4 linked regions of the Stegostoma tigrinum genome follow. The protein of the gene in region 1 interacts with the protein of each later gene in a pairwise test. Links are inferred from orthologs where the notes say so. Each region holds a gene or a part of one and is shown in the gene's direction. Other genes may lie near its edges.

Region 1 (6,897 bases):
ACCAGGGATTTCAGTTGGCGGTTGGGAAATAAATTATCCTAAATTATATCATTAACTTTATTAATAATTAAAATGTAAACTATGAATGTTAATTATATAATTAATGTTTATGTTTGACATGTTATACTTTGTTTATATTTTACAATTAATGTATATTTATTACTGTGTTAATACTATTAATCCTAATGGTGGGTTACTACAACTAATATACACATCAAATATTGTAGGTGACGCTGGACAACTGATCAAGGATTCTCAGATATTGGGGAATTAGTCCTTCAACCTTCTGATGTGACATTTCATCCCTGTCCTCTTTCAACAATAGAGGTTCCCTGTGAGAGGCTTCAACACATCAGTGAGCAACACAAGGCACTTTTATGAGTGTCCCGCAAACTGTCACATCGTACTCTCATCAGGTAGCAAGTACAAAATAAAGCTGAGATAACAAAGTGTGAAGCTGGATGAACACAGCAGGCCAAGCAGCATCTCAGGAGCACAAAAGCTGACGTTTTGGGCCTAGACTCTCTGATGAAGGGCCTAGGCCCGAAATGTCAGCTTTTGTGCTCCTGAGATGCTGCTTGGCCTGCTGTGTTCATCCAGCTTCACACTTTATTATCTTGGATTCTCCAGCATCTGCAGTTCCCATTATCACAAAATAAAGCTGTTTGCTTGTAGTTGTGAGCTATCACCTCTAGATGTCTCTGCTGAATTATATTGCTTGAAGTCAATATTTATTTAACTTTGTTTAAGATAAGTTATTAAGAATCATTGAATCCCTACAATGTGGGGACAGGCCCTTCAGCCCAACAAGTCCACGCCAACCCTCAGAGCATTCCACCCAGACCCATACTCTCTATAGCCCACCTAACCTACACATCCCTGAACACTGTGGTCAATTTAGATTAGATTCCCTACAGTGTGGAAACAGGCCCTTTGGCCTAACAAGTCCACACCGCCCCTTGAAACATCCCACCCAGACCCATCCCCCTATAACCCACGCACCCCTAAACACTACGGGCAATTTAGTATGGCCAATCCACCTAGCCTGCACATCTTTGTACTGTGGGAGGAAACCGGAGCACCCGGAAGAAACCCACGCAGACACGGGGAGAGCGTGCAAACTCCACACAGACAGTCACTCGAGGCTGGAATCGAACCTGGGTCCCTGGCGCTGTGAGGCTGCAGTGCTAGCCACTGAGCCACCGTGCCACCCATAAAATTACAGGTATTCTTTCTGTATCGTTTTGAAGTCATTCTCTGTCTTTCCCATTCACCTGTCTTTACTACTGGACATTTCTTTGATTTCATCTGGTCACTATCCCCTTTGTCTCTGCCAGTTCCTTGCCAAAACCATTACTTTCCAGATCACCAATCTTGTAGCCAGCTCCTGGCCATCACAGCAAACCACTGGGGTATAGTAAGTTTGATAATGAAATATTGAGTAATTAGGTTTATTTGCTTTCTATTGCACAAATGGTCTCAACATGAAACTCAAACAGAATGTTATCCCTTGAGGGAGGGGGAACATAGAAAAGATAATTCTAGAACTGTTTTTATTCACTCATGGGACATAGTTTTGGTCATTACTCACCACCCAAGAACTGAGTGGCTTGCCAGGCCATTTTAGAGGGGAGTTAAGAGTCAACCATATTGCTGTGAGTCTGGAACCACATGTAGGCCAGACCAGGTGAGGATGGCAGATTTCCTTCCCTGGAGATCATTAGTGAGCCAGACAAATTTTTCTGACAATCAGCAATGGCTTCATGGTGATTATTACATCTGTAATTCTAGTATTTTTTTAAATGAATTCATATTCCTCCATCTGCTGTGGTGGGATTTGAACCCAGGTCCCCAGAACATTAGCTAAGTTTCTGGAATAATAGTCTAGTATAATTATACCAAGCCATCACTTCCCTGTTTAGGCCTATTCCTTTCACTGTAATTTTATTTTGCACACTGATTTTTAAAAATAATTACACAAATTCTAAAAGAACTGCACTGTACAGAGTTATTTAGGTCCACTTGACATGTCAAAATACTTTATAGCCAAATTATGCTGTAATACATTTGCAGGGCAGATGGAATTTGAACCCAAACCATCTGATTCACAGATAGTGACACTAACACCACAACACAGGACCCTCATACTTTTGTTGGTAAATGTGACATCAAAATGCACGCAGAAAGATCCCAAATTGTACAATGAGATGAATAAAAATTATTTTTTGAGATAAAGCTGCTATTTGAGAAGTAAATGTTATATAAAGCATTAAAACTTTCTTATGTACATCTCATGCTGCGGAATCTCAACCTGCCTGAGTGGGCTAAAAAGGATGTAAGTTTAAACCAGCCATGACTCAAACTGTAACAATTTCCTCATTGACTCAGAAGTTGTGGGTCTAAATTTCACTCTGAAAATCGTAATCTGAATTGACACATCAAGCATAGTACTGTGAGGCTTTTTCCCCCAATTAGTCAGATTTTAAATTGTCGCCTTATCATCTCAAGTAAAAGTTCCCATTGTCCCATGGAAAGAACAGGAATGTTCTCTCTGTGTTCTGACTTTTCTTTCCTTTCAACATCCTTAACAATAGAGATCATTATTATGATACTTCTGTTTGTGGGAACCTGGTGTGTGGAAACGGCTGTACATTTCCTACATTATCAAAGTGACTGCTTAAAAGATCCTTTATTCACTGTAAACCATTTGGAATGTTGTGGTCATTGACAAGTTTGCAAAGGTAAATCTTAAGAGATCCAGCTAAAAGACCACAGTAGTTCTGAAGTATGGTACCATAAATAGAAGCAGAGACACGTATTTTTTAAAAAGACACTGAATTAGTGTAAGGATCTGAAATGCATATGGCTGGAATAATTAGATAATACAGCTGCTTAAGTGAACGTAGCACCACTTAAGAAAAATAAGGTGGTGATTTTGAAAAAAACTGCACAGAATACAATTAAATGAAACACTAGTCAATTTCGAAGGTGGATTTACCTTTTTTTAAATCCCAGATGTTTCTTTGTACCACAATGACGCTATATTGATTTAATATCGGATTTAAAAGAAATACCCCTGCAGATTTATAACTCGTCTAATTCTCATCATCGTTTCATAAGTTTTTGGGAGAGAAATAAATGTATTTGCACCTATTGACTGGATTTACCAGGATGTTACTACTACCCCTTGTACCAGTCTGTGCTGTCTTCGTGAACGCAGCATTCATTCCAAATGATAATTTGCCTTAGAAATAATCTTCCGGACACGAATTTTCCCATCAGCCCTGTACAATTATTCTATTGTGCTCTAGCATGACCCCGAATTGAATGTGCGTCTGCGAAACCAGCGTTGACAGGAGCATGAAATAAAGTAGACAAATGGGAGCAGCGGTTCGCTTATTCATTCCTAAACGTGCCAAGTGGATTATGCACTCAAATAAAATCAAAATACCCGGATTCTGGAGATTTTGAAATAAAAACAGTGTTGGAGAAACTCTGGTTTTGGAAGGAGAAACAAAGTTAACGTTTCGCGTTTAGTATGACTGTTGGGAGTTTTATAATTCTCCAGCACTGTGTTTTACAATGATTATGCATTTTGTTTTTACACGTGGGTATTGCTGAAACCTTGGTGATGTTTATAATTACAGAGTTCACTTTATGTGGCCTGTGTAATTAAGTCTCCCCCGCCAGATATACACTATCATTCCGATAAAAGTTTATTACCAAGTTTCATTTCTCGACTCGCACCTGACACCAGCCGTCAAGAGTGGGCGCTCGCTGGAGCGGGGTCGCATGGGATTTGTTGTTCACAGCTAGTGAAACAGCAGCTAGGCTTCCGGCGCTGTTGGCCGGAAAGGACTACAGTTCCCAGAAGGCAGCGCTGGCGTTGACACCCTGGAGACGAGGAAAACAGTGAGAGGGAGGAGTTTGAATCGGAAAGTTCTCGGTGTTTGTTGTTGTAGCCGATACAAACTCGTAAATCCACTTTAGAGAGGACGAGGATGGCAAGTCAGGGCGTCGGAAATGGCGGGGTAGCTGCTGGAGGAGGGGGCCTCGGTGCCAGTGGCTCGGCTTTCTCGGTCACCCCTTTCTCTGTGTCGGGCCCAGGAGCTGGCCTGGGTCCGCTGGTCTCCGTGTGGGAGTGGGAAGACGAGGCGGGTCGTTGGAGGCCCTACAGCAGCCGGGTGAGCGAGCACATAGAGCGCAACCTCCAGCATTTGCAGGGAGCGGCTGCGGCGACAGCTAAAGGAATCAACAGCATCTCCCTGGGCCAGGCCGAGCCCAGGTTGGCTCCCTACATCATCGATATCCCCACACTCACCCAGTTCCGACAAGACACTGGTAAGACTAGCCCCTCGCTCTCAAAAGTGTCAGCAAGATTTAATCACATACTGATTATTTACAATCTTCAGCTTCACTTTTGGTGTTGCTATCAGTGATTCATTCAGTCGTCCTAAATGTTTGCTCCAGGTGCAGATTTATTTGTTAAAATGTTTGCATTTCTTCTGTAAATTGCTTTGCCGATTTAAGCCCGAGGTTTTTTTGACTAAGAAACAGTGTTTTCAAAAACTAATATCACCGAAAAGAAATCAAACGTTAGCCAGGTGTAGAGCTGGATGAACACAGCAGGCCAAGCAACCCACCTATTAATCTCATGCCGCCCCCTTGACCTGCCTGTCCTCCCTGGACTGACCTATTCCGCCCCTACCTCCCCACCTACACCCACCTTTAACTGGCTCCATTCCCGCCTCTTTGATCGGTCTCTCTCCTCTTCCTCTATCCATCTATCCGCCTCCCCCTCTCTCTCCCTATTTATTTCAAAACTCCCGTTCCCTCCCTCATTTCTGAAGAAGGGTCTAGGCCCGAAACGTCAACCTTCCTGATGCTGCTTGGCCTGCTGTGTTCATCTAGCTCTACACCTTGTTATCTAAGATTCTCTTGCATCTGCACTTCCTACTCTCTCTCAAATATTAGCCATACTATATTAAGGTTAAAAGATTTTTCTGCAGCACTACAGTTTGTTTAGGCTACTAAAACTAACATAGGTAATTGTTAATATTTAACTGTGAGACTAATCATTTCAATACCTTGGTAATAGTTGCTATTGTAATTAGGGTATATATTTGTCAGATTCCCCCTCTCTCTCTATTTCAAGGGGAGATGGTAAGGTACTAGTAACCCAGAAGCCCAGGCTTTGGCTCCAGGGAAATGGATTCCAATTCCATGACAGCAATGGGAATTTAAATTCACTTAAGTAATTCAAAAACTGATTATGCCAATAAGACAAATCTCGATTATTTTAAAAACCTAAGTAGTTTGTTAATTGCTTTTTGTAAAGAAGCCTGCCACCTTTACTTGACCCAGCCTGCGTGTGACTCCATATCAACAGCGGTGTGGTTTATTCTTAACTGCCCTGTGAAATGGCCTAGCAAGCCACTCAGTTCAAGGATGACAAGGGATGGGCACCAAATGCTGACTTTGTTTTTAATGAGCTCATTGACAAAGATAGTTGGAACTTTATCTTTGATATCTTCCCATAATTGCAACTGTGGCTCAGGGAAATTGGGGTCTTAGCACTGACTTTAAGTTTTGATGTTCTGCGTGTTGTGGAAATGTGCTAACTTACTGTAGTTTGGAATGATTCATTTTTCAGGTTTTTTCAAGTCTGAAAAGAAGCAAGACAAATGTATGCTTTCTCAAGTCAAAAATAAGATTCCATGTTTCATTTGTGATTTTAGAGCTAGACTTTGCAAAGTTAACGTGAGAAATGAGTCAAACACATGAAGTAAAGATGAGCTTTCACAAAGTTGTCAGTGGCTCCTCCACATTGGGACTGTTGATTGTTCATGCATGACGAGAAAACTGAAGGTGTTTATGACCTTAAAGCTGGCTGTCAAGAAAGTTTAATGCCCCCTCAGACATCATTGTTATGTTGAAATTGCAGTTTTTGGTCTTCAATTTTAGAAACTTTCTACAGCTTCATCTTGATATTGAAATCTGGCAGGAAAGAATCTATTTGGCTTGTCTATTGAAACAGGAGAGAAAAAAGGAATCAGTTTTGCAGAGCATTATGCAAACAGGCTTTCTTTGGGTGGATGAAAAGAGAGCAAATAAAGTTACTTTAGGATTTTGACTTCTATTTTAAACTGAAATACAATCTGGACCTGAACACTTTGGATTTATTGACTTTTTTTAACATGAGCTGCCATGTATTTTGTTAAATTCTAGTTGTGTTGGAGGCTTTTTCCATGTGTTGGAGTTTTTGCCCATGAGTTTGATTAACAAGACCAGTAATTTGACCGTAACAGTACATTCAGTTAATGTTAAAGGATTTCTTTAACACTTGAGACCTGTCTTGCATTAGATTGCAAGAATGTTAATTTTTGTAGTAACTTTCATATCACATAAATCCCAAAGTTCTTTGCATTACTTTTCGTACTTAAATGTTTTTGCCAAACACAACAGACAAACAAAAAATAGAAATTGCTGGAGAATCTCAGTGATCTGGCAGCATCCATGAAGAGAAAATGTGAACATTTTAAGCCCATTGACCCTTCTGCAGGCCTTGACTCATCATTTTATTGTAGTAAAATCCCAAAAACAAAAATTAGATGGCCTACTAATTTTGCTGGTAGCGAAGGATAAATATTGTCTAGGGTTCCAGGCATATTTCCCTGTTGAAGTTGGTTGGCTCGCCGAGCTAGTTTGTTGTTCCGCAGGCGTTTCGTTACCATGCAGTGCAGCCTCAGATGAAGTGTCGATGTGTTTTCCCACCTGGTTTTTAAACTCTGGAGTCCTTTGAGCTGGATTGTCTCACTTGCAGTTTTCCTTCGAGGTGGAGTGCATATGGGGTCGAGTTCTATGTATTTACTAATGGCTTTCTTTGTGGAGTGCCAG
Region 2 (7,766 bases), on another chromosome or scaffold:
CCAATCAATTTTTTTTCAGTTTGCCTGCACTCCTTCTGTAACATTAAGAGTGTGGCAGACCCTTGAGGTAGCCCTGTGGTAGGTGTGGGTGGGAGGATCACAATGGGGTAATCACTTCCCCCCAAACCCCCATTTCCCTGGCCACTGCTGCGGCCACAACCACCACTGGCCCACACTGCCCATCTCCCAGGGAGGAGGGGCTTGGAGGTGGGATGGTTCCCCATCTGCAACAGTGGTCTAGCCACTGCGGCTATTTCAATTTTAACTATTTCTGAAATGCTGAGAGGAAACTTCTCCATTACTGTAACAGCAGGCTGCAGTTCCTTCAATGCCACTGCGCCGTGATCACCCATTGACCCCCAGTTGGAAAGACAGTGAGTCGTCTAGATCTGAACTGGCCAGTCCTGCAAAATCATCTGTTGGATTGCTGCTCCTCAAATATTGTGCAGGGACATTACTTTATAACAGGCACCTTAGTGAAGCTAACATGCAAAAAGGGGAAATCACTTGATTCTGTCAGGCAGTTTTCTTCCATATCAGTGATGAGCACCATTATTTTGTCTCAGACCAAAAATTCCAGACCAATATCTCTTGACATGGCTCTGTGCTAAATTTTGATGATGACCAGTGAAGACAAATGTCATTTGGAGTTGTAGCATGCTTACTAGTTTGTTTTGGACCACAAAGACATGTTGTGCTTACGAAGCTAAATGAAATTAGTCCAGAAGTTCACTTGTTATGTTTTGAATTAAGCAATCTGTAGTTAATATCATCTTAACAAATTTGGACACATACATGAGGATTATGTGCTGAAGCTCATTTAAAATGTCTCTTCCTCTTATTCCATATAACCTGTAACATGGCAGAAAGCACCAGTATAGGTGGAGGGGTGACTGAGGAGAGACTCCTGGCCCTCACAGGAGAAGACCAGGACCACTCCAATGGGGATGCAGAAACATCCATGTCTGACCAACTGAGCAAAGACTACTTCTCATTACATTTTAATTCTTACAGCAAGTATCATTTATCACTCACCATGAGTTCTTCTGTCTCTTTGAAGGCACCATATCTATGGCCGCACCAGAGAAATGGCTTTCAATGCCAACAACACCTTCTTGTTGTCGGACGAAGAGAATTCAGAGGAAGCATCCTGTAACACCTAACAGCTCAAAAACTGACATCTCAGTGGAAGCATTGCATTAAGAAAGTTTGGAAGCACAACTTGGTGAGCACTTCACAGCAACAACTCAGCAAGTGCCTGAGAACAAGCTGCTGGCACCTAGAGGCCTGCCCGAAATCAGGTAACCACTCAGCTCCAGGAGAGCTGCCTGTCATGTCACCAATCGGGGATGTTTTCTAAATGCACTGAGAGGAAAAGAGGAGGCAGACAGTGAGACCGAAGGTTGCAGGAGTGTAGTTACACCATGGGAACCCAGCTGCTTCAAGCATATCATCATCTGGTTGCCTCAATGAACAGGTCGGTGGCTGGCATGAAGACCGGGACCAGGACCCTCAGGGTCTGTTGGATACACACATACACCTGTACTTCTTCAACCCAACCATTGGTCCTCATGACTTAGGGCATGGTGGCAGTGCCAGGGATCCTGGTGTGCACTCCAGGTCCCCATTCCTTACATGATGAAAGGGCAGTGCCAGGAGGCATCTAGCTAGAGGAGGAATCACACACACAACTTCCTGTCAGCGCACTCCAGAGATAGCCAGGCCTCCATGCTGTCTGCCTCCCAACTGACCCTTACAAATTGAAGCCATGGAAGACCTAGTTGCCTCCAGCAAGAAGGCCCTCGACATATCTGGGCCATCCAGAACAAACACCTCTAGTGTTGCTTGACCCAACCTCTGAGGCCAATGGTTTCCACTGCAAGCAAGCTGCCTCCACCCCAGAACCAGAGATAACATTAAGATGTAGTGGGAGGGAGAGGGAAAGAAACAAAAAAAAAATGCTTTTGAATATACTTTGGTGGTATAGGTGTGAAGGTTATTGGTTTTGCCTTACATCTATTTGTTTGAACCTCTGTGTGGTCCTGACTATAACTGCACCAGCATGGTGCCTAACATTCTGTCCCTACGGAACAAACTATGGCTTGAAGTCTGTGTTGAGACAATGCTGCAGTCTAGAAACTAGATGATCAAGGTGTATATAGGGCAGTGAGTTATGATGGCACCTTACCGTCAAACATCCCCAATCTTTCTCTGGCCACTATGCGGAAGTGTTGGTGTGAATGAAGTGGCCACCAATGTGTAGGGCAGTGAGGTGTAAAGCAAAGAGGGATCCAATGCATTAGTTTTGCCTGAGATTATTGGGCATTCAGGTCTATGTCCTGGACAGTACATGACTCTGTGTATGATGTTCTTGCCATTTAATGGGCTTGCAACCTTTCCCTCACAAGTTGAGACATTTACCCTGACTACTCTGAGTACAGTCTCAACCGTCTTCTTTCACATTGCATCATTCTGGTTCACAGCAAAGTGAAAGATGGCAGATATGCTCTTCAGCCAACAGCTTCTAACCTCTGCCTCTGTGAGTCAGGGAGGTCCTATTCATGATTGCCCTTCCCATGAGCTCCTTAGGCTAGGGATCTCCCCAGATCCCCATCAAACCCATTTCTGTGAACTTGTGCTTAAACACTTTACATCATCTCCTTCCCCACTGCAGCCCCTTTCATATGGGGACACCATACCAAGTGTGGTCATACACTACCTTCTGCTTGATGCTAGGGTCCTCCTGACCATGGATGAATATCTCTCCTGCAGTATCTCATTCCCATCCACACTTTACCATATCCACCCTTGATATATTCAGTTGCCCCTTCCCCCAAGCCGTCAGGTTGACAGCCCAGGGCAAGACAAACAAATAGCAGTTCACTTAACAGCTTAAAACAGAAAAACTATGGACTCCGCAACTTCATTGACCACATTGATGAATGCTAGTTGAGAATAGGTTAAGTTTTGTTTTCTTTGCTCAGATTCAGTTATCTTTTTGTTGATGTAGTTAACAGTTCGGAAGGAAGTATTACTTTCTCAATTCCCCCACATGTTCCTGCATCTCTCTCCCATTCACTGCTTCCTTCCACCAATCCATTTCCCTGCCCTTCAGCCCCTTCTGCCACCTTATCAATGGCAATCATTACTTTTTTGACTAATCACACTCATCAGTTTCTAACAGTTAGTTTGGAACAAGGTGAAACGTGAGGCAAAGAAAAAAAATCCAGACATTTTAGCGAATCATAGGTCCAAAATCACTGTTCTTTTCACACACAGTACAAGTGCCACGGTCTGGATTTTCAACCCCAATACGGGCTAGAAATCAGTAGCGGAAGGGAAATAAACTTTGCCCATTAACCTACATTCTGCTTCCCTGCCTCCAAATCCACAGTAGAACATGGCAATTAATGTAATGACATTGATTCAATGTGAATGACAGTTAAGTGCCAAGTAGCAATGCATATGATTCTTTTTATTCTTGCTGGCTTGGCCAGCATTTATTGCTTACTCCTAAGTGCCTTGGAGAAAATTGTGGTGAGCCACTTTCTTGAACCATTGACCCAGCAACAATAAAGAAATTGTTGAGTTTGCTCCAACATTGAGAAAGTTCAGGACAGAAATGGCAAAGTTTATGGACATCAATGAAATCAATGGATAAAGAAATAATGCAGGAAAATGGCATGGAGAAAATACCTGCCTTGATCTAGAATGGCAGAGCAAACACCGCAGCAGAACAGCCTTCTTCTGTGCCTAAACTGCAGACCACGTAGATGCCAAGATCCTGTTAACAACAGGAATCATGCTAGATTCATTGAATTAAGCCCTTGACTAGAAACAGGTCGGAATGAAGATTGAGTTCAGAGATTCTGCTCATGATTAGCACCAACAATTATAAAAGAGTTAAAGATCCAAAAGATGACAAAATAATCTATTTACAGAATAAAAATTAAGATTGAAGATGGAGAGATGAAAAACTAGAGGAGTAAAGAAAAGCAATATTTTGGACTAAAGCAGGTTTCAGACATCTAAGTTGTATTTGGAAAAAAAAAGCAGTGACACATCATAGAGCCAGATGGATAGGAGGGACCTGGAATAAACAAGATGAAAAGTAGATACAAAATCGATTAGCAAGATAGGAAATGAATTCTAAGTATGTTACTTGTTCTATAATTTACCATCTGTGATAATCTTGGGTCAGAACACTGTTCCTATGAAAGACAACATTATTTTACCCTTTAACAATGTTTCTGTGGAAGTTTTAAAAGTCAGCAATTTGTTGACTTTTTCTAAGCCACTCTTTATCCTTGTACTAAGGGCTCAGCTATCTACAGCCAGATATAAAACCGTATGATAAACACAAATCTGAAAGGCACAATCAGAAATGATTGTTCCCTTTAGTTAATCATTAATTTTGGGGAGCGGGGGATGGTGGTGGGGGGGGGCGGAGAGAGAAGTGGAGTCGGGGGTGGGAGGGCGCGTTGGATCTGCTCTCCACATTTCTTTTAAATGGTAAACAAGCGTGATTCATCACCAGGACGTAACTGTGGGCTGACTTAACAAGGGGTTGTGTTGGGTACCTTCACAGTAAGAGCTCTTAGGACCAAATTCACCCATCTGCTAGTGACAGCTGACTTCGTTTTTGATAACTGTGGTGTACAAACAAATAGGGCGGGCTCGGAAAAGTTTAAATAGCTGTTGTAAGTGTGTACCCTGGTTTATAGATTTGTTAACCTTGGATCAAAAAAAAATCGGGAATGCTGTACGACGTCTGAAGAGCTTTCGTACAGCCATTGATTGCAGTGATGTCAAACTGTTGAGGCTGCGAGTAGGATCAAAACCCGAAGTGCCTATCCAATTGGAAAGACTGAGAATCAGATTAAGGGGTTTGTCATCCGATACTGTGAGGACCCATCTCTCCGCAGACTGACCATTCACCGACTTTTCAAAAAGAATTATGATTTGATCCCAGTGGTTCCAGTAGTTTGAAGGGGAAGGGTGAAAGGCACACTGACAGCCCTTACTCGCTCCGGCATTCGCCATGAAGATGCCCATGAAGAGAGTCCCTGAGTCTCAGGGTTCATCTGTGGTTCACCTGCAGCCCCCGCACAAGCTAGTGGCTGGCATTCAGGACGAACCCTATATGACTCTGATCGGCAAACACTTGGCTTCGCTTGCGGAAAATTGCGGCGGCGGCGAGGAACTAGAGAAGAACTCATTGCCCGGTTGTGAAGAGAGGGAAATAGGGACAGATCTGGGCATTAAATCAGGTGGGATTCTGTCGCTTGCGACAAAGATTTGCGCTGTTGTCTACACACTTAAGGAACCTGTTGGGAACAGGGATTATTCAGCCATTATCAGAGGTCAAGTGTGCAGGGTCTCTAAAGTCGCGGTCCGTTTTAATTGAGTTTCCATCCCACGATCATTATTAAATTTAGCAGAGTAACAAATAATAAGAGGAAGACTAAAGCCTCAATGTGCAGTTGCGCTAATTTTTAGAATAATCAAAATATTGTCGGACCAATTAGATGGATTCCTTGAAGTGGGTTAACATAATAATTCACTCGAATGGTACAATTTAAATAATGCTGTGCAGTTCCGATAAAATAATCAAAAAAGTGCTAAATTTTAACCTTCGGGTTTGAGATTTTGAAGAATTATACATCATGAAGATGCAGAATCTCAGTCTGTGACCCCAATTTCTTCTGTTTGAATAGAACCAATATTTATCCATCTTTTAGGGTTTTCTTTTTGAAAAGATTTGGAATGCTAACACAAAAGGCAGTAGAGGCGTTGGGGGTGAAGGGGAACTGCGTATTGGCTAATCCTGAAAACTGTTGTCCTTTACAAAATTGTAGCGTCGAAGTCTGAAACGCTGATGGACTCGGGGACTCGACATCATAAACGATTAAAGAAATAAATGTTGGTAGAACCGAAGGTCCGCCTCAAAATCTCATTCTTTCCCCCAGAATCAGAAAACTGCAACGAAATCGCATCCTCTGAAGAAGAAGAAGGCCATGTTCCTGAAAGGAAAACATGCCTAAGCGAGGAACAACAATGTCAGAAAAAAACTATAACTCAGATCATCAAGGACAAGAAAAAGCAGACACAACTCACGCTGCAGTGGTAAGGACATGACGTGGAATCGAGATGAATCTAACACCACAACATTATTGTAGTGAATACAGATGGTAATAACTACAGATGCTGGAGTCAGAGATGACACAGTGTGGAGCTGGAGGACCCTCTCTTAGATCTGCTGCTGTAACAAAATCCCTTTTGCACGAAAACAAGTCCACACTGAATGTTTAATCCGATATATTGTTTTAAAATTTGCTAAAGACAAGCTGAGGCCCATGATTTCGGTTCACGTTTTAGTCAAGGGTCAGATTTGTCCCAATGTGTAGATAATGTTCCTAATTAATGTATCTTGCTCATCTCCATTGTCAGGTTGGAAGAAAACTATATCGTGTGTGACGGAGTCTGTCTGCCCCGGTGTATTCTCTATGCCCACTATTTAGATTTTTGTAGGAAAGAGAAGCTGGAACCAGCCTGCGCTGCCACTTTTGGAAAGGTGAGGCGTGCTTAATCACTGAGAACCCTGTCAGCAAAGAATGAAGGGAATGCTCCCTTTTCAAGAGATTTTTTATTAGCAGCTATATCCATAACTAAACTTGTCCTATACTATCACACTCACCTCATCTTCCAGTTTGATCCCTTATTGGATAATTTGAATTAATATATTAACAATTTTAATATGCTTAATATCATAGAATCATGCAACGGTAAAATCATACAACTTAGACCCGCTCACTACTTTTGTAAGTGCTGATTGCAATGAAGATACGCAGGCAATGTTCCCAAGCATTCGAAAAGACATCATACGAATAAACGCAGATTTTCTAGTATATATTGTATGTTCAAAAATAACCTTTTAGATTTTTCTTTCAGACAATACGCCAGAAGTTTCCTCTTCTCACCACCAGAAGACTTGGGACAAGAGGACACTCAAAGTAAGCCAGTTAGATATCACTGTTTTGTGAGTTCTAGTCGTCATTGTATCAACTTTCTTTACTATACAAACTTTGGACTTGTCAAACTTGGAAACATTCGGGCAAAGTATCATCTGATTTCTTAGCAGCAATTTTCTGGAGCTTATTTTACATCAGATGACATCAGACTGTTGATCTCGTTACCAGCTTCTGTCAAAATGAACTTCCTTTAAATCCTGATAATTGTAGGACAAACCTTTGTTACCTGTCCCAGTTCCTTACATGCCAATCCAACATGTTGTGAAAATGTGTGCATTCACGCAGGTGAAAAGGATTTCGTGTAAGCACTTGATTTTGATGGATATTGTGGTAGCTTGTTTCCTTATTGGGTTAAAGCAAAATTAACTTCAAAATCATGGCACTGTTTTGCAGATATCACTATTATGGAATTGGCATCAAAGAGAGCAGTGCATACTACCATTCAGTCTACTCGGGTAAAGGCTTGACAAGGTAAATTTATTCTATGTATGTCATAATAACATCCTTTTTCCTCCTTGGCTGAAAATGATTATTAGTGTAATCAGGAGCTGGCTTTATTAGTCAGCTGTGCCCTAACTTAAATTATATTTGCTGAAGAGAAAGCTAACAGGATTAGTGCAATATCTGTGACATCAAACAAAGTGCAATCTGTTTCGGAGCTGCAATAAACCTATTCCCAGTTATTGGTGGAACATTCTGGACACAAATAACGCAGGGTATCTAATAGGTTGTTTT
Region 3 (6,832 bases), on another chromosome or scaffold:
CCCATTGGGGAGGGGGGGGGGGAGACCCTTGTCATTCATCTTATCTATGTCCCTCATGATTTTATAAACTCCAGGATTAATACAGTTGATCTTCACTTAGTACAAGTTTATTCACCTTGTGTTAGGTGCAACCTGTGAAGGGAGCTCCTCTAGATTCCTACTAAATTCTTTTTTACTAAGATTCATTAATGCTATGACAAGTTAATTACTACGTCAACATCAGCTACATTACAACCACTGGAAATTCAGCTCTTTTCTCTGCTAGGCGTCAGACTCAAATGAGATCTACAGCTGAGTCGAACCCAAACTAAGAAACAGTGCATGTTATGGGTGAGTAAGCACTGCCTGACAACACTGATGATGACAGTACTCTCATCAACAAAGTGATGGATAAGTTATTGGGGCCACAATTAACTTGATTACATTTGTTATGTTTTATGGGGACTGGACATACCAAACAAACTGGAAAACTGCCAGTTAGTAGGCACTCTTCAATTACAGATTTCTCTGAAATAACCTGTAGAATGTATTCAAATTGCAATCACAAGTATGTAAAATTTTACACTTAATTATCCAATAAAAGATTGCACATTTACATTATAATATATTACACCAATTTCAATAATCAACACTAACGCTGTCAAGGACAGTTAGACATGAGATTCTTCCACTCAAAGACACACCATGATGCTGCAGTACTATAAACTGATGAAACGTGAACACTTAGTTATTTATAATAATACATGTGACTGATTTGTGCAAGTATTTTCCACTGCAATCATGTCCCTACAGATCACATTATTCTCTGAAGAGTTAAACTACAGAACAGAATGAGGTAAAGGAATCAACATCATTCACTTGCCAAGCACCCCCAAGATGCTTCAGCTTCAACAAGTCAATTCCCATTTCTCACATGATTGGGTTTAGTAACTCATCCGAAGCAGTACTTAGTGTTTCATTAGAACCCAGTGAAACAAAAATACGCACAATATCAGATTAAGGACATAATGACATTTAAATTTATCACAAGTTTTCTCTTTAAAAACTGGGCATCGATAACACTTGAAATCAAAAAGGGTAACATCAGCATAAGCAAGTTACACACAGAATAGCAGCACACTACACCATCTCTTTTGGCTCCTAACAATTTTTCATACTTTAACCATTTAATTTCAAAGCTACTGTAACAAAATTTTTGTTCAAAAGCTGTCATAATAAAGTGCGTGCATGCTTGTATTTCCACTCTGTACTGAGGAAGCCAAGCCTAACTAGTGAGGCATTGAACACAACCGGCTGCCATACCCTCCATGCTGGAGGCCTCGATCAAAGGGCCAAAAAAGGAAGCAAAGAATCAGACCACACTGAGTCAACATCATCCTTGTGAAGTGTCCCTGTGTACAAGAAGGAAAATAGCTAATTTGACGAGGTTCCATTGTGATGATCACAATTCTCTCCTTTAAAACGTATCAGATAGTTTGGTGGCATGTCTCATGTAAATAACACCCACTTCAATGAGGTAGTAAGGTATTGGTTACTTTCCTTTCAAATAGTATCAACACTTTGCATAGAAAACAACTGCCCCAAAAATTACATTCTTCCTCTCTATTTCTTGCTGGTTTATTCCCCCTCAAAAGTTAATTAATTCGACACATCTTCTAATCTACAAATTTCAACTTCCAGATCAATTGAAATATTAAAATCAAATTCACAGTTATTTTGATTTGGAAATAATAAAAAGACTGACTTGCTTTCAAAACCAAACTGCAAATGCAAATACACATTGGTCCCCCAGCAATTTGACAGGCAGGTCTAAAGTTTTAGAAAAATTATAAAGGCAGCCAAAACAATGGCAAACTGAGAACAAAGGATCAAATATGTTTTAAGAGGTGGCGAGACTTCCAAACAAACAAAATAAAAAGTTACAAACTATTGTTGTGTTAAACTGGCAAAACATTAATTCTATAAAAACTGTTAATGTACTGGTAACAGATAAATACAAACTTTACACCACAACCTGATTCTGCAGAGATGCAAAGGATGTCCCAGATTTGGAGAAGTTCACAGCAAGAGAAACTAAACAGCTGGAGATCTGTACAACACAAGCTAACTTACCATCGATTTTGTTAGAGCTGTAAACCACTGTATTCGCTGCATGTGTGTATCTGATCAGGTCTACCCCATACTTCTTACTGTACAGTGTCCTCTTTGGTCTGACAGGTAAGAAAGAAATTACATTAAGTGATGTTAAGTTTTATCAGAAAAGATGTCTAATTTAACCTCAACACACTGTTGCAGAGAAGTTCACATAACTGTTCTTTCCAAATTTTACTGTTGTCTAGTTTCAAGGCCTCCCTTATGTAGTCATGCCCAAATATCAGAAAAGGCAACAAAATCATCGATGCATGCTTCTGTATGTAACTGATTAACTAACTGACATATAATGCTGTCCTTTGTTAAAACAGTCAAGTATTTTCTTGACCACAAGAAAATGGACCTGCTCAGGCATGTTTTTGACATACCTCTGACCCAGAATCAGAAACACTACGGCTTGGTTACAAGACCATCCATAAAAAGGAAATAAACTAGGTCAACTAAAGGACACCTTATGACTTACTGACTCATTAGCTGACCTGATTTTCAGTAACAGCGACACCAACAAAAATCACAAACCACATGCATCATTACTGTGAAGAGAAAACAAGGAAATTGCAAACCTCTTACATCATACTCAGTGCCAACCACACAGCTCAACAGGTACTGAAGCAGTTATGACATCCTCTACCTTAGTCGGAGACGATCAAACAATTTACTACTTTAAAATGTAACTCAGATATCCTGATAACATTCAGAGCTCTCTATCAGAATGACACTTATTTTATAAACTGAATTACTCAAATTAATATAAGGCTACACATCAATTTTACAGAATTAGCTGCGACAGGCTGGAAATCAGCATGGAGGGACAATAAAGAACAACAATAACATACTCAACTGAGGCCACCTGTAATAATGGATTAACCTGCCAACACTTACTGTTGAGATTTACATACTGAAGTCTAGTGACCACAAAACTCTGTCACAGGAAAAACACAATGCAAAGAATACAAGGCAAAAACAAATACAAGTCAATTTTCTTCAAAAAGACTTAAACTACATCTCTCATGAAAAACAGCATCTAGGGCACTAAAATATAAATAAATAGTTCCCCTTTATGTGGTAACCATTCTACAATCTTGTCCCTTCCATTTCTCAGATCTACTATGTATATTTTCTTCAAAACTTGAATGGCTATGCTTTCAGCTATTTAGGGCCTAAATTCTGAAATTCATTATTGATGCGTCTTTGTTCTCCATCAAGTTACAATTCTAAAATAATATATCTAAACAGGATGAATAAAATTATGTAACACTTTTGTAGGATTTGAATCTAGACGTTTGGGCCCAGACACAGTGGCACTACACCACACCACACTATACTAGCCCATATTCTCTTGCAGTTTGCTAAACAACTTGTTCTGACACACAATGGCACATCTCCAGGACAGACAGGACTTAATCCAGACATATCAAAAGTTCGCGGATAGAAATCGAATCCAGAGCTCTAACTCAGAGACATGAGCGCTACACATTCCACCACAAGACCTAAACTGTGCACAGATTTTGGGTCACACTAAGTGCCAGCTTTACGGATTTATTACATGGATTTATAAAAGTCTGGTTAACTTTACTGAATTACACGGTAAACAGATGCAAGGTGTCTGCCTCAACTGTAGCATGTTGAGCGCATGTGCTCTGCATCGAGGTAGGCTACTAACATCGTGATTTGTTTGGCTACGATTTCCACCTTGAATGGCTGTTATCTGCAACATTTGGGAAAGAAATCCTACAGATGCACTCTTCGCTACGAAGCATATCGAAGAGACATTATTAGTGATCACCACAGACGACGGTCTGAACCCAGAACATCGTGTTGCAGATCACTATTTCCCGCCTCCAACGTGAGACTGCCCTCTTCCTAAATCCAGTTAATAATCCAAGGCAACTGATTACTTTCCAGCTTCTCCTCGCCGCAGGCTGGCTCTGCAATCAGCCCCCAACTCTCTCTCTCCTGACCGCGCAACGCAACCCGAGCTCAGGGTCTTTTGTGAAAATCAAGGCCGGGATTTCTAGGCCTCCCAGAGAGGGGAGGGTCTTTTTGATCTGAAATGAGAGCGGGGGGGGGGGGGGCGGTGAAAGTACTCACTTGCCCTCCTGGCAGTCGTAAAGAACGATGGAGTCGTCATCGCTGCTGGAGATGAGCGTCTCTCCGTTGGGTGAGAAATCGAAGCAGTTGATCTTGTCTGTGTTCTCTCGGAATACCTTAGCCACTCGGAAGCTGCGCAGCACATTATCCGTCAGCTTCATCTCGTTCTTCTTTGCTCGGTGGTGCAGGGAGGGGCTTACAGATGGGAGGAATAGGACGGTTTCTTTAAAAAAAAGCTGCGAGATGCGCCTTTAATTTTTTCTTTTGAGCATCTGAGGGGAGAGAGTTTTGTGTATTTTTTTCTTTCTCCGATATTTAAACACGACTAAAATGGCGGCGCACGACCCAGACTCAAAAGCGACAGCCCTTCACCCTAACCGCGGGGCATTGTGGATACCAAGCCGCGGTTGGCGCGAACGCGCCGCTACCCATAATACCTAATCCCCCGCCCTCGGTCGTTATGGAGATGATGTGTCAACGCCCCCGTCGTCTCCATGACAACCCGGCGGCGGAGGCGGTGTCTCATGACCGTTGCCATCTTCTTCAAAACCCACCCACTGGCAAATGACCATGACGTCAGCCAACATTTTGGTCTGCGGCATGATATTACCCATAAAGCCCAGTCCTGGTTGTCAGGGAGATACGGCTCTACTCTTGCAGCGCATGTGCGTTCAAGGTGCTGGAGTTGAGTCGGTCGCTGTTTTGCTAAAGGGCGGTTCCACTGGATGGCCAGTCTGTGATGATTCTCTTTTTCCATTTTGCACACTTTCCTCCCTTTTGTTATTTTAACGCTTTATTTTAGGATTCCTTTCATTAGAGCTTTTGTTCATCATTTGCATCCCCCTCATGTCACCATTTGACCAACTGAAATCAGCTTGCCAACCAATCCTTCCCCTATCGTATGAACATCATTTGACGTGTGGCATTTTTGCATTTGTCTTGATGAGTGCACATGATAAAAAGCTTCAGCTACATGTGTCTCTTTCAAGCAATATGCATGCTCTCACCTGCAATGTGACTTATTTGTTTTGATTCTCCACTTGAACACTGACCTCAGTTTCCTACATTGGCCCATTTCTAACATTATCTTGTTTGGAGATCTCATGACTTTTCTATGAAGTTCAAACGTGACGTTGAGGAACAGCTCATCTTTCATCAAGTTACATTACAGCCTTCAGGATTTAGCACTGAGTTCATCAATTTCAGATTATAAACTTAACCGCATTATTTTAAATGACATCCATAAGCGATGATTCTGTATTTTTCCATTTAGAGCTTTTCTAGTTACACATTTTGCATCTTTTATCAGGTCAAAGCCATTGTCACCCCTTTTACCTGCGTCACAATCTCTTTTGTTATTTAAACTCTCCTTGCTACCATATCAAATATGAATTTTGTTCTTTGCTCACCTTATAATTTTTCTTTATTTGTTCTTACTAAGTGGATATCTCTGGTAAGCATTTGTTGCCATCTCTAATTACCGTTGAATGGAATGGTTTCATTGATAATTTCAGAGGACAGGTAAGATTGAACCACATTGCAGTTTGTCTAGAATCACAATTAGACCTGACCAGATAAGACCATGATTTAGTGAGATACAGGAACAGAATTGGGTTATTCAGCCCATTGTGTCGGCTCCACCATTCATTCATGGCTGGTATGTTTCTCAAACCCATTCTTCTGCCATTTCCCTTTAACCTTTGATCTACTTACAAATCAAGAACCAATGTCTACTTGTCTCAAATCTCTGTCTCAATAACTTGGCCTCCACAGCCTCCTGTGTCAACGAGTTCCGTAGATTCTCCACCCTCTGGCTGAAGAAATTCCTCCACAATTCAGCTCTAAAGAATCACCCCTTCACTCTGAGGCTGTGTCATTGGGTCCTCGACTCTACTGCCATTGGAAATATCTTCTCCACATCCACACCATCCAGCCCCCTCAGTGTTCTGCAAGCTTCAATCAGATTCAAATCTCATTCCTCTAAATTCCATTGAGTACAGACCCAGAGTTCTCAAACTCTCATCAAATGACAAGCTGTTCATTCCTGGAATCATTCTAGTAAATATCCCCTAGACTTCATCCAAGATTAGCACATCCTTAGATTTGGGACTCAAAACTGCTTCCAAATGTGGTCTGGTCAGAGCCTTATTTCGCCTCAGCAGTACATCTCTGCATTTGTATTCTAGTCCTCTCGAACTGAATGCTGCCATTGCATTTGCCTTTCTAACTACCAAAATGAACTTGTATGTTAACCTTAAGAGAATTCTGAATACGGACTCCTAAGTCCCTTACTGCTTCAAATTTCCCCATTTAGAAAATGGTCTGTGCCTCTATTGGTCCTACCAAAATATATAACCTAACACTTTCCCACATTGCATTCCATCTGCCACTTCTTTGTCCACTCTGCTAGCCTAAGTCTTTCTGCAGCCTCCCTGCTTCTGTAACACTACCTGTCCCTGTCTTTGTGTTATCTACAGACTTAGCAACAATGCCCTCAGTTCCTTAATGCATATCAGTAATGTATAATATGAATAGTGTGATCCCAACACTGATGCTTGCAGTATTCCACTAGTCTTTGACCGCCATCCTG
Region 4 (7,191 bases), on another chromosome or scaffold:
ACAGTGCTACAATTAATGAAAGAAAGGTTGAAAGGCAAAGAGTTTTAGCAAATAATTTCAGACCTTAGGGCCTAGGCAAATGAAAGTATGAATACCAATGGTGGAGTGTTTAAAATTAAGGATCTCCAAAATTAGAGGAGGTTGGATCTCAAAACATCATGGAGCTGGAAGAAACATAAGATATAGGGAAGGATTAGGCCATGGAGCGATTTGAAAACAAAAATGATCATTTTGAAATTGCAGCATTGCTTACCTGGAAGCCAATGCATGTCAGTAAGTACAACAATCATAGAGTCATTTACAATGCAAAAGGGATTCTCTGAATCCATGCTGACTTCCTGTGGACCAATTCAATGTTAATTCTGTTCCCTCTCTTGATCCCTGTCGCTGTGCAAGTTGTTTTATCCTTCAAGTGTCTATTCACTTTCCTGCTGGTGTTTCTGTTTGTGGGCAATGAGTTCCAGATCATTACTGCTTGCTGAGTTAAAGTGTTCCTCTTCACATCTCTGACATATCTTTTGACCAAAACCTTCAATCTGTCTTCCCTTTCATCCTTGTATTATCAAAAATAGTCACAGTTTTCTGTTGCTTCCCTTATCCAAACTTGTCATAATCTTGCACATTATTATCAAATCTCCCCATAATCTCTGCTCAAAGGAGACCCCAGTTTTTCCAATCCAAGTTTGTAACTAAAATCTCTCATCCCTGGAACCATTCTGGTAAATCTCCTCTGCACCATGGGTCCTCATGCTCCTCCTAAAATGTGTTGGCCAAGTCAATGGGATTTGGTGCAAATTGGCGTAATGTTTGATTTGTAGGAAATGGAAGAATAGAATAGAATAGTGAAGACCTAATTAACAAAAACTTGAATGAGGATTTCAATATCAGGTGCACTGGTGCAGGTCAGAATTGGGTGACAGTCTCAGGAGTGAGGATGAGATCATATCAGGATCAGATATGACACAAAGCTTGTGAACAGTTTAATTCAGCCTCAGACAGTGACCAGGTAGAGCAGGGAATTGGTGACTCAAAAATGAAGTTTGTAATGGCTTCATTGTTCTGTATATTTAGTTCAGAGAAATTTCTGCTCATCAGGCCCCAGATATTGACAAGGAGCCTGACAATTTTGAGGCACTGTAAGAGTTGAGAGAGGTGTGGTGAGGCAGAGTTGGGTGTTATCAGCCCATACATGGAATCCGTTGGTGTATTTTTAAATGGTGCCACCAAAGTGTACAGATGAGAAATAAGAGCTGGTAGGGCTAGGCCTTGAGAGACACCACAAACAATCTATCTGGAGGGGTTTATGAATCGGAAGGATTTGGAGGGGAATGGCTTAAATGCTGGCAAATGAGACTAGGTCATTTTGGAATGTCTGGTTGATGCAAACGAGTTAGACCAAAGAGCCTGTTTCCGTGTTGTATGACTCTGTGACAATGTGGCCGGATTGAGAAGAGAAATCAATGATGGTAATTGTCTGACTGCAACTGGAGAGACAAGAGAAACTAGGTGAGTCCAGCCCTACCGAGCTGGCCAGTAGTGTTGGTGAGTTTGGCATGGTGAACCATGTCAAAGTCCATATAGATTCAAAACCAGAGAAGGAATAGTTTATCCTGGTCACAGTCACATGTTGTTATTTGTGACTTTGACCGCCACTGATTTGGCCACCACATTTTAGGAGGAGCATGAGGACCCATGATGAGGTGCAGAGTAGATTTAACAGAATGGTTCCAGGGATGAGAGATTTAAGTTTCAAACCTGGGTTTGGAAAAGCTGGTGTTCTCCTTTGAGCTGTATCAATACTGCGATTGGAGCATACATAGATGTGCTAACTCTTCTGAAGTGATTGTGAGAGATGTGGTTTCTCATTCATATTCAACTTTACCCACAATCTCACAGGAGAACTGAAATCTCAGGATTTTTAACAGTACTCTTACATATATGCACTTAATCTGAGACTGTTCATGCACCTCTTAAGGCCCATGTGCTTTGCTTGAGGAGGAAACTGGAAATGGGAGCTTGCGAAACATGTGCTTTGGGTCTTAAGCGATGACCTAATTGCTGATATGTACGCGTGAGTTGCAAGATGACATATGGTACAGTCCTGATGTTTGTTCTTAAACTGGCGAGAAATAATTTATTAAATTATGAGTAAAATGCTGCAGATGATGAAAATGTGATACAAAAACAGAGAATGCTAGAGAAACTCAACAGGTTTTGCAGCATCTTTGGAGAGTTAATGTTTCAAGTATGTCATGACTCTTCTTCAGAATTGTTATAGTGAGACAAGCCTGATATTTGGGCATATCTGTTTTCTCAAGGAGTCCTAAATAAGGCATTAGGCTCCCCAATAGTATACATAGGAGAAATATTCATCTTAGGCAGCTCTGTGAATATCTGAAAAGTCAGCTGACTCAATTTTCAAAAATTTGGCAGGAAATGTTGCTGTCTACTTTTTTAACCTTTGGGACCATGTGCTAGTTCAAGTCTGCCACTGCTTCCAAGCACTAAATAGAATAGTGATACATTTTTTAATAAGAAGCTCTGAAATGTTGAGCTTAAATAAGCCATGAACAACTTGTTTAGCTCTGTACCACACCTCTTCACTTGTAAGAGTTTGTTTTTTGATTTATGCAATGATGACTGTTCCAATAAATAGAAAAATCTTATTGGAGTTATTCAAACAGTGAAATCTGGAAAAGATAGACATGTGTCTTACGGGCAGAGAGGTTGGAATCACATTTGTCCCATATAACTAATGAGGATCTAATCTTCTTTTCTTTGGCAGTTCCTCAGGGTCCAGGACAACTTCCTTCCATTTGAGGCGGGGAAGGGGGATTTCTTTGGTGGTTGCATAATTCACTCCTGGAGCCACAGACTCTGCCATAGGAGGGGAAGGTGACATTTGATGAGGCAGGAGGGTGGGTTGTTCTGATTTTGTGAACTCCTTCCCCTCCTTGTGCTTAACCTCCATGTGCTCCACTTGGTGATACTGGAAGTGGTGTCATTTTTGTGGATGCTTCTTCCTAAGTTTGTGCATTCTATGGCAAGCAATTCTCATGCATTGTTGGGAATATTACATTTGTTTGGGTAGGTGGTTTCAGAGTATCCTTGTAGCATTTCATTTACCCTCCTGGTGATCACTTACCACTGCGGAGCTCAGACTCCTGTTTAGGGAGTCCTGAGTTGGGCCCACCCACAGCAGCTAGTCATCCATGACTCTGGCCTGGGAGAGGATGCTTGTGTTGGTATACGTATTCTGCCAATGGATTTCCAGGATTTTGTAAAGGCAGCAGTGGTGATAACTCTCCAATGAATTGAGATATCTACTGTACATGCTGTATATTTCTGCTGCATACAGGAGGGTGGGAGCCTGGCTTCAATGTATAGCATGAGCTTGGCAATGGATTTGCTGGACTTTCTGTTCCTCAAGTTGCAATGGTTTATTGGAGTCAATGTTTGATTTCATTGTCAATGTCTGTTTGCACCAAGAGGAAGCTTCCAAGGTATGGGAAATGATCCACATTGTCCAGAGGCTTGCTGTGCATTTTTATGTATGCCAGACTAGGGACTCTTTGGGAAAGCTGATTTGCTGACATGTTGTGATCTCCACTCCACTTTCCTCTATGTGGTCCAGAGTTGTTGACTCCATTTACAAAAATCTATTCAGTACTACCTTGACTAAAATCAGTGACACAGTAATTTGTGGGGAAAGAAATTCCACAGGGAGGGGGGTCAGTGGTTGAGGAGAAAGAAGCATTAACAATATCGTCTGATATTGGCCATGACATGTGAGATGAATTAAATTTAATCATCCAGGATGATGTGATTGCTCTGAACGCTCCATTTGGCTGCCCTACTCAATAGACAGCCTCTGACAGCACTCAGCCGCCCACTTCCGGTATCACTGTCAATCAGACGAAAAAGTGAATGGGATTAACCCAATGACGTTGTGGTCTTGCCCCGCCTCCTCCGCTCTGATTGGTTCTATTGTCTGAAATATAGTCGTCAATCCTAGTTGCTTGTGGGCCCTTTCCCTTTTGAGGACGAAGAGGGGGTCTTAACAAAATTATTAAAAGTGTAATCGAAAGCGCTTTTTTTTTTAAAAAAAGGAAAGTGCGGGTCTTGTGGCTTTTTTTTGTGTGTTTGTTTTTTTCTGTTTTGGTTGTGGGGACAGGCAGGCGGTTGGTCTGTACATCCGGGTGCGCGAAGCGGCTGTTGCCGGGCTTCGGGACACAGGCCGGTTCCGTCGGCTCCGGCTCAGGCTAGAGCGGGAGAGGCGGCAAGCGAGGGGCCGAGTGTCCGTAACCCCCTCCCCTTTCCTCCATACTCACTTCCCCCTCCCGGGGAAGAAGCCTACCCTTTGCCTCCTGTCTTCGGGAGTCAGTCTTTAGGGTGGCGCCGGGGTCTGACCAAACCCCCAACCCACCCAAAAAAACCCCTCCAGTGCCCGGAGCGGGCGGGCGGGCCGTTCTCCCTCCTCGCGCACTCTCTCCGCTCGGCCCGGACCTGGTGACCGGCAGGGCAGCCGGACGTCTTTTTTTCATCCCCACTCCTTCTCACCCGGGCAAACTTCCTCAGTCCGAGGCCTGAACTGTCAGCCTCGGAATCTCTCTGTCAGGTGTGTGTCTGTATGGTTTATCATGCAAAACATCGACTAGCCTCGGTCTTTGTACCAGGTGAAGCAAACTGTGTGTTTTTTTTTGTCCCGTCCTGTTTATATCACGTTTTGTTTATGGGTTCCTGCGACGTCAAATGAAATAGCTGGCCATTTGTTCCTAGTGTGCCTTGGCTGTGGTGAAGTCGGGATAATTTTACCTTTTTCGCAAGCCGTCTTGTTTCAAAACTGAAAAATTTTCAAAGGGAGAACGGGTTGCAGTTGCGTTCTCCCAGTGGGTGAGGAGACAAACCTGCGCAATTGCTACTTGGATGTCTGTGCTGTACGATAGTGTAACACTACTAGCGCAACAGTAGTTGATGGAATGGAAATTAAATTTCTTTTGTAGCTTTTAACTGCGTTCCGAACTGACTTGGGTTCTTTTTTTAAAGTGCAGTAGCTTTAAATGTTCGAATTGACTGAGTTTGAAGCTTTGTTTTCGTTTGAAGGGACATGTTCACAAAGCCCTCCGTGGCAGCCATGGATAAAAAAGAATGGATTGAAGAAAATGGAGAGCCATTAGTTAATCTACCAAAAATCTGTGTTATGAAGAAACCGTATCGATATTCAAAGGTATGGATTACGTGGTGATAGCTAGGGTTAATATTTAAAATGCATTTCATGGAACTGATGTGGTTGACATCTTAAACTTGTTTTGGATCTTACAGCTTGCAAGTATTTATTTTTGTTTTAGTAATGGCTATACTTGTCAAGTTGATGGATCATGATTAATAGATAGAACAAATTCTGTTCAAGAATTTGTCTTGATGACTGTGTCCAGCTGTAGCAAAATTGGAAGATTCTGTTTAACTTGGTGCAGCTGAGTGGACACAAGTCAATAGCAATTGACCAAAGTTTTGAGGTATGACTAAAAACCATTTTGTGGTGTGATGTCATGTAACAGCAGTCGCTGTTTTAATGAACTGTGAAAGTATGGGTAGCGTGACCCACTCAACCTCTATTTTCCAAGTATCAAGCATCATCTGCCTTTAACTTTCTGCTTAACATCTGAGTACTGCTGGCTACACTTTGAGAAATACCAAGCTCCAACTGCCCCTTGAAGCTGGTGGTAAACTGCCTTTTTTTTTTTGTAGCTCAAGTGCTGTTAGGCAAGTTTATTTTAGGATTTGATCTAAAGTATTAAAACAGTACAACACAAAACTGTACGAGAGTCCCTTCAACCCATGATCATGTGTGAAACATGACACCAAATTAAACTAATCCCTTCTGTCTGCTGTTGGTCCATATGCCTTTTATTCCTTGCATATTCATGTCCTTGTCTGAAAGTCCTTTTTTAAATGCATCTATCTGCCTCCTCCTCCACCCTGGCAGTGTTCCAGACTTGTACTTTTTAAAAAAAATTTGCTCCTGCTGTCTCCACTGAACTCCCCACTCCTACCCTAAATGCATGCCCCCTAGTATTAGACATTTCAACTCTATCCATGCGTCACAATCTTATAGATTTGTATCAGGTCTCCCCTTTGTTTTCCTTTTTGAGTAGCAGAGACTGAGTTTTTCTAGCCACTCTAAAAACCTCTTGTCCAGGCAGCATCTTGGTAAACCACCTCTGCATTCTCTCCAAAGCCCCTGCATCTTTCCTGTAACGTGGTGACCAGAATTGACTGCAATACTGTGGCCTAATCAACATCTTAAAAGCTGTAACATGAAATTCTGATTCTCCTACACAATTCCCCACAATGAAGTCAAGCATGCTTATGCCACCTTTACCATCCTATCTACTTGGCTAATTGCAGGGAGCTATGGGCTTGAACCCACAAGATCCTCCTGTACATCAAAGGTGTTAAGAGTCATGCCACCAGCTATGTTTCCTTAACACTTGATCTCCCAAAGTGTAGCACCTTACTTACCCAGATTAAACGCCATCTGCCATTTCTCTGCCCATATCCTGTTGTCCTTTGACAAACTTCTACACCATCTCTAACGCCACCGATCTTTATATCAGCTGCAAACTTGCTAACCTATCCATCTACACTTTCATCCAATTCACTTATATAAATCTCAGACAGCGGAGGTCCCAGTGCAGATTCTCTGTGGAACACCACTAGTCATGGATCTCCAGCCTGGAAGATGCTACCAATACCCTCTTGCTTCTATAGGCCAGCCACTTCTGAATCCATGTGGCCAAGTCACCGTGGATCCCATGCAACTTAATCCTCTAGATGAGCCTACCATGAGGGATCTTTGTTGAAAGCCTTATTAAAATCCATGTAAACAACATCCACTGAATACCCTCAATCGCCTTTGTGGCCATCTCAAAAGCCAATCATCTTAGTAAGACATGACCTGCACAAAGCTAATGCTAACTGGCCCTAATGAGGCCATGCTTTTTCCAAATGTGCATAAATCCTGTCCCTAAGAGTTCTCTCTAATACTTTCCAACCACCGTGAGACTATTGGCCTTTAGTTCCCTGGATTATCTCTAGTTCCCTCCTTGAACAGAGGACCAACACAAGCCACTCACTTAGTACTTTGGGGCCTTTCCAGTGGCTGGTGAGGATACAAAGATCTTGGTCAAG

Evidence for each region.
Region 2: the proteins of dtx2 (region 1) and rfx6 interact in binary tests that used the Homo sapiens proteins (3 or more experiments, as listed by UniProt). The two-hybrid records come from large-scale screens. The link is inferred for Stegostoma tigrinum from reciprocal best matches to the Homo sapiens genes DTX2 and RFX6.
Region 3: the proteins of dtx2 (region 1) and glyctk interact in binary tests that used the Homo sapiens proteins (3 or more experiments, as listed by UniProt). The two-hybrid records come from large-scale screens. The link is inferred for Stegostoma tigrinum from reciprocal best matches to the Homo sapiens genes DTX2 and GLYCTK.
Region 4: the proteins of dtx2 (region 1) and eif4enif1 interact in binary tests that used the Homo sapiens proteins (3 or more experiments, as listed by UniProt). The two-hybrid records come from large-scale screens. The link is inferred for Stegostoma tigrinum from reciprocal best matches to the Homo sapiens genes DTX2 and EIF4ENIF1.

The regions. Positions count from the first base shown.
Region 1 is NC_081380.1:9,060,358-9,067,254, forward strand, and holds the start of dtx2 (probable E3 ubiquitin-protein ligase DTX2), read left to right. Parts: upstream 1-3,879; 5' UTR 3,880-4,001; coding exon 4,002-4,341; intron 4,342-6,897. UniProt on the Homo sapiens protein: Regulator of Notch signaling, a signaling pathway involved in cell-cell communications that regulates a broad spectrum of cell-fate determinations.
Region 2 is NC_081357.1:60,760,867-60,768,632, forward strand, and holds the start of rfx6 (DNA-binding protein RFX6), read left to right. Parts: upstream 1-4,740; 5' UTR 4,741-5,041; coding exon 5,042-5,270; intron 5,271-5,969; coding exon 5,970-6,126; intron 6,127-6,450; coding exon 6,451-6,574; intron 6,575-6,951; coding exon 6,952-7,013; intron 7,014-7,424; coding exon 7,425-7,502; intron 7,503-7,766. UniProt on the Homo sapiens protein: Transcription factor required to direct islet cell differentiation during endocrine pancreas development. Specifically required for the differentiation of 4 of the 5 islet cell types and for the production of insulin.
Region 3 is NC_081364.1:12,379,417-12,386,248, reverse strand, and holds the start of glyctk (glycerate kinase), read left to right. Parts: upstream 1-3,830; 5' UTR 3,831-4,242; coding exon of another isoform or gene 4,243-4,403; exon of another isoform or gene 4,404-4,646; intron 4,647-5,346; exon of another isoform or gene 5,347-5,763; intron 5,764-6,832. Other genes in the region: wdr82 (WD repeat-containing protein 82), read right to left, coding at 2,113-2,210, 4,243-4,403.
Region 4 is NC_081379.1:46,712,333-46,719,523, forward strand, and holds the start of eif4enif1 (eukaryotic translation initiation factor 4E transporter), read left to right. Parts: upstream 1-4,180; 5' UTR 4,181-4,618; intron 4,619-5,103; 5' UTR 5,104-5,107; coding exon 5,108-5,227; intron 5,228-7,191. UniProt on the Homo sapiens protein: EIF4E-binding protein that regulates translation and stability of mRNAs in processing bodies (P-bodies). Plays a key role in P-bodies to coordinate the storage of translationally inactive mRNAs in the cytoplasm and prevent their degradation.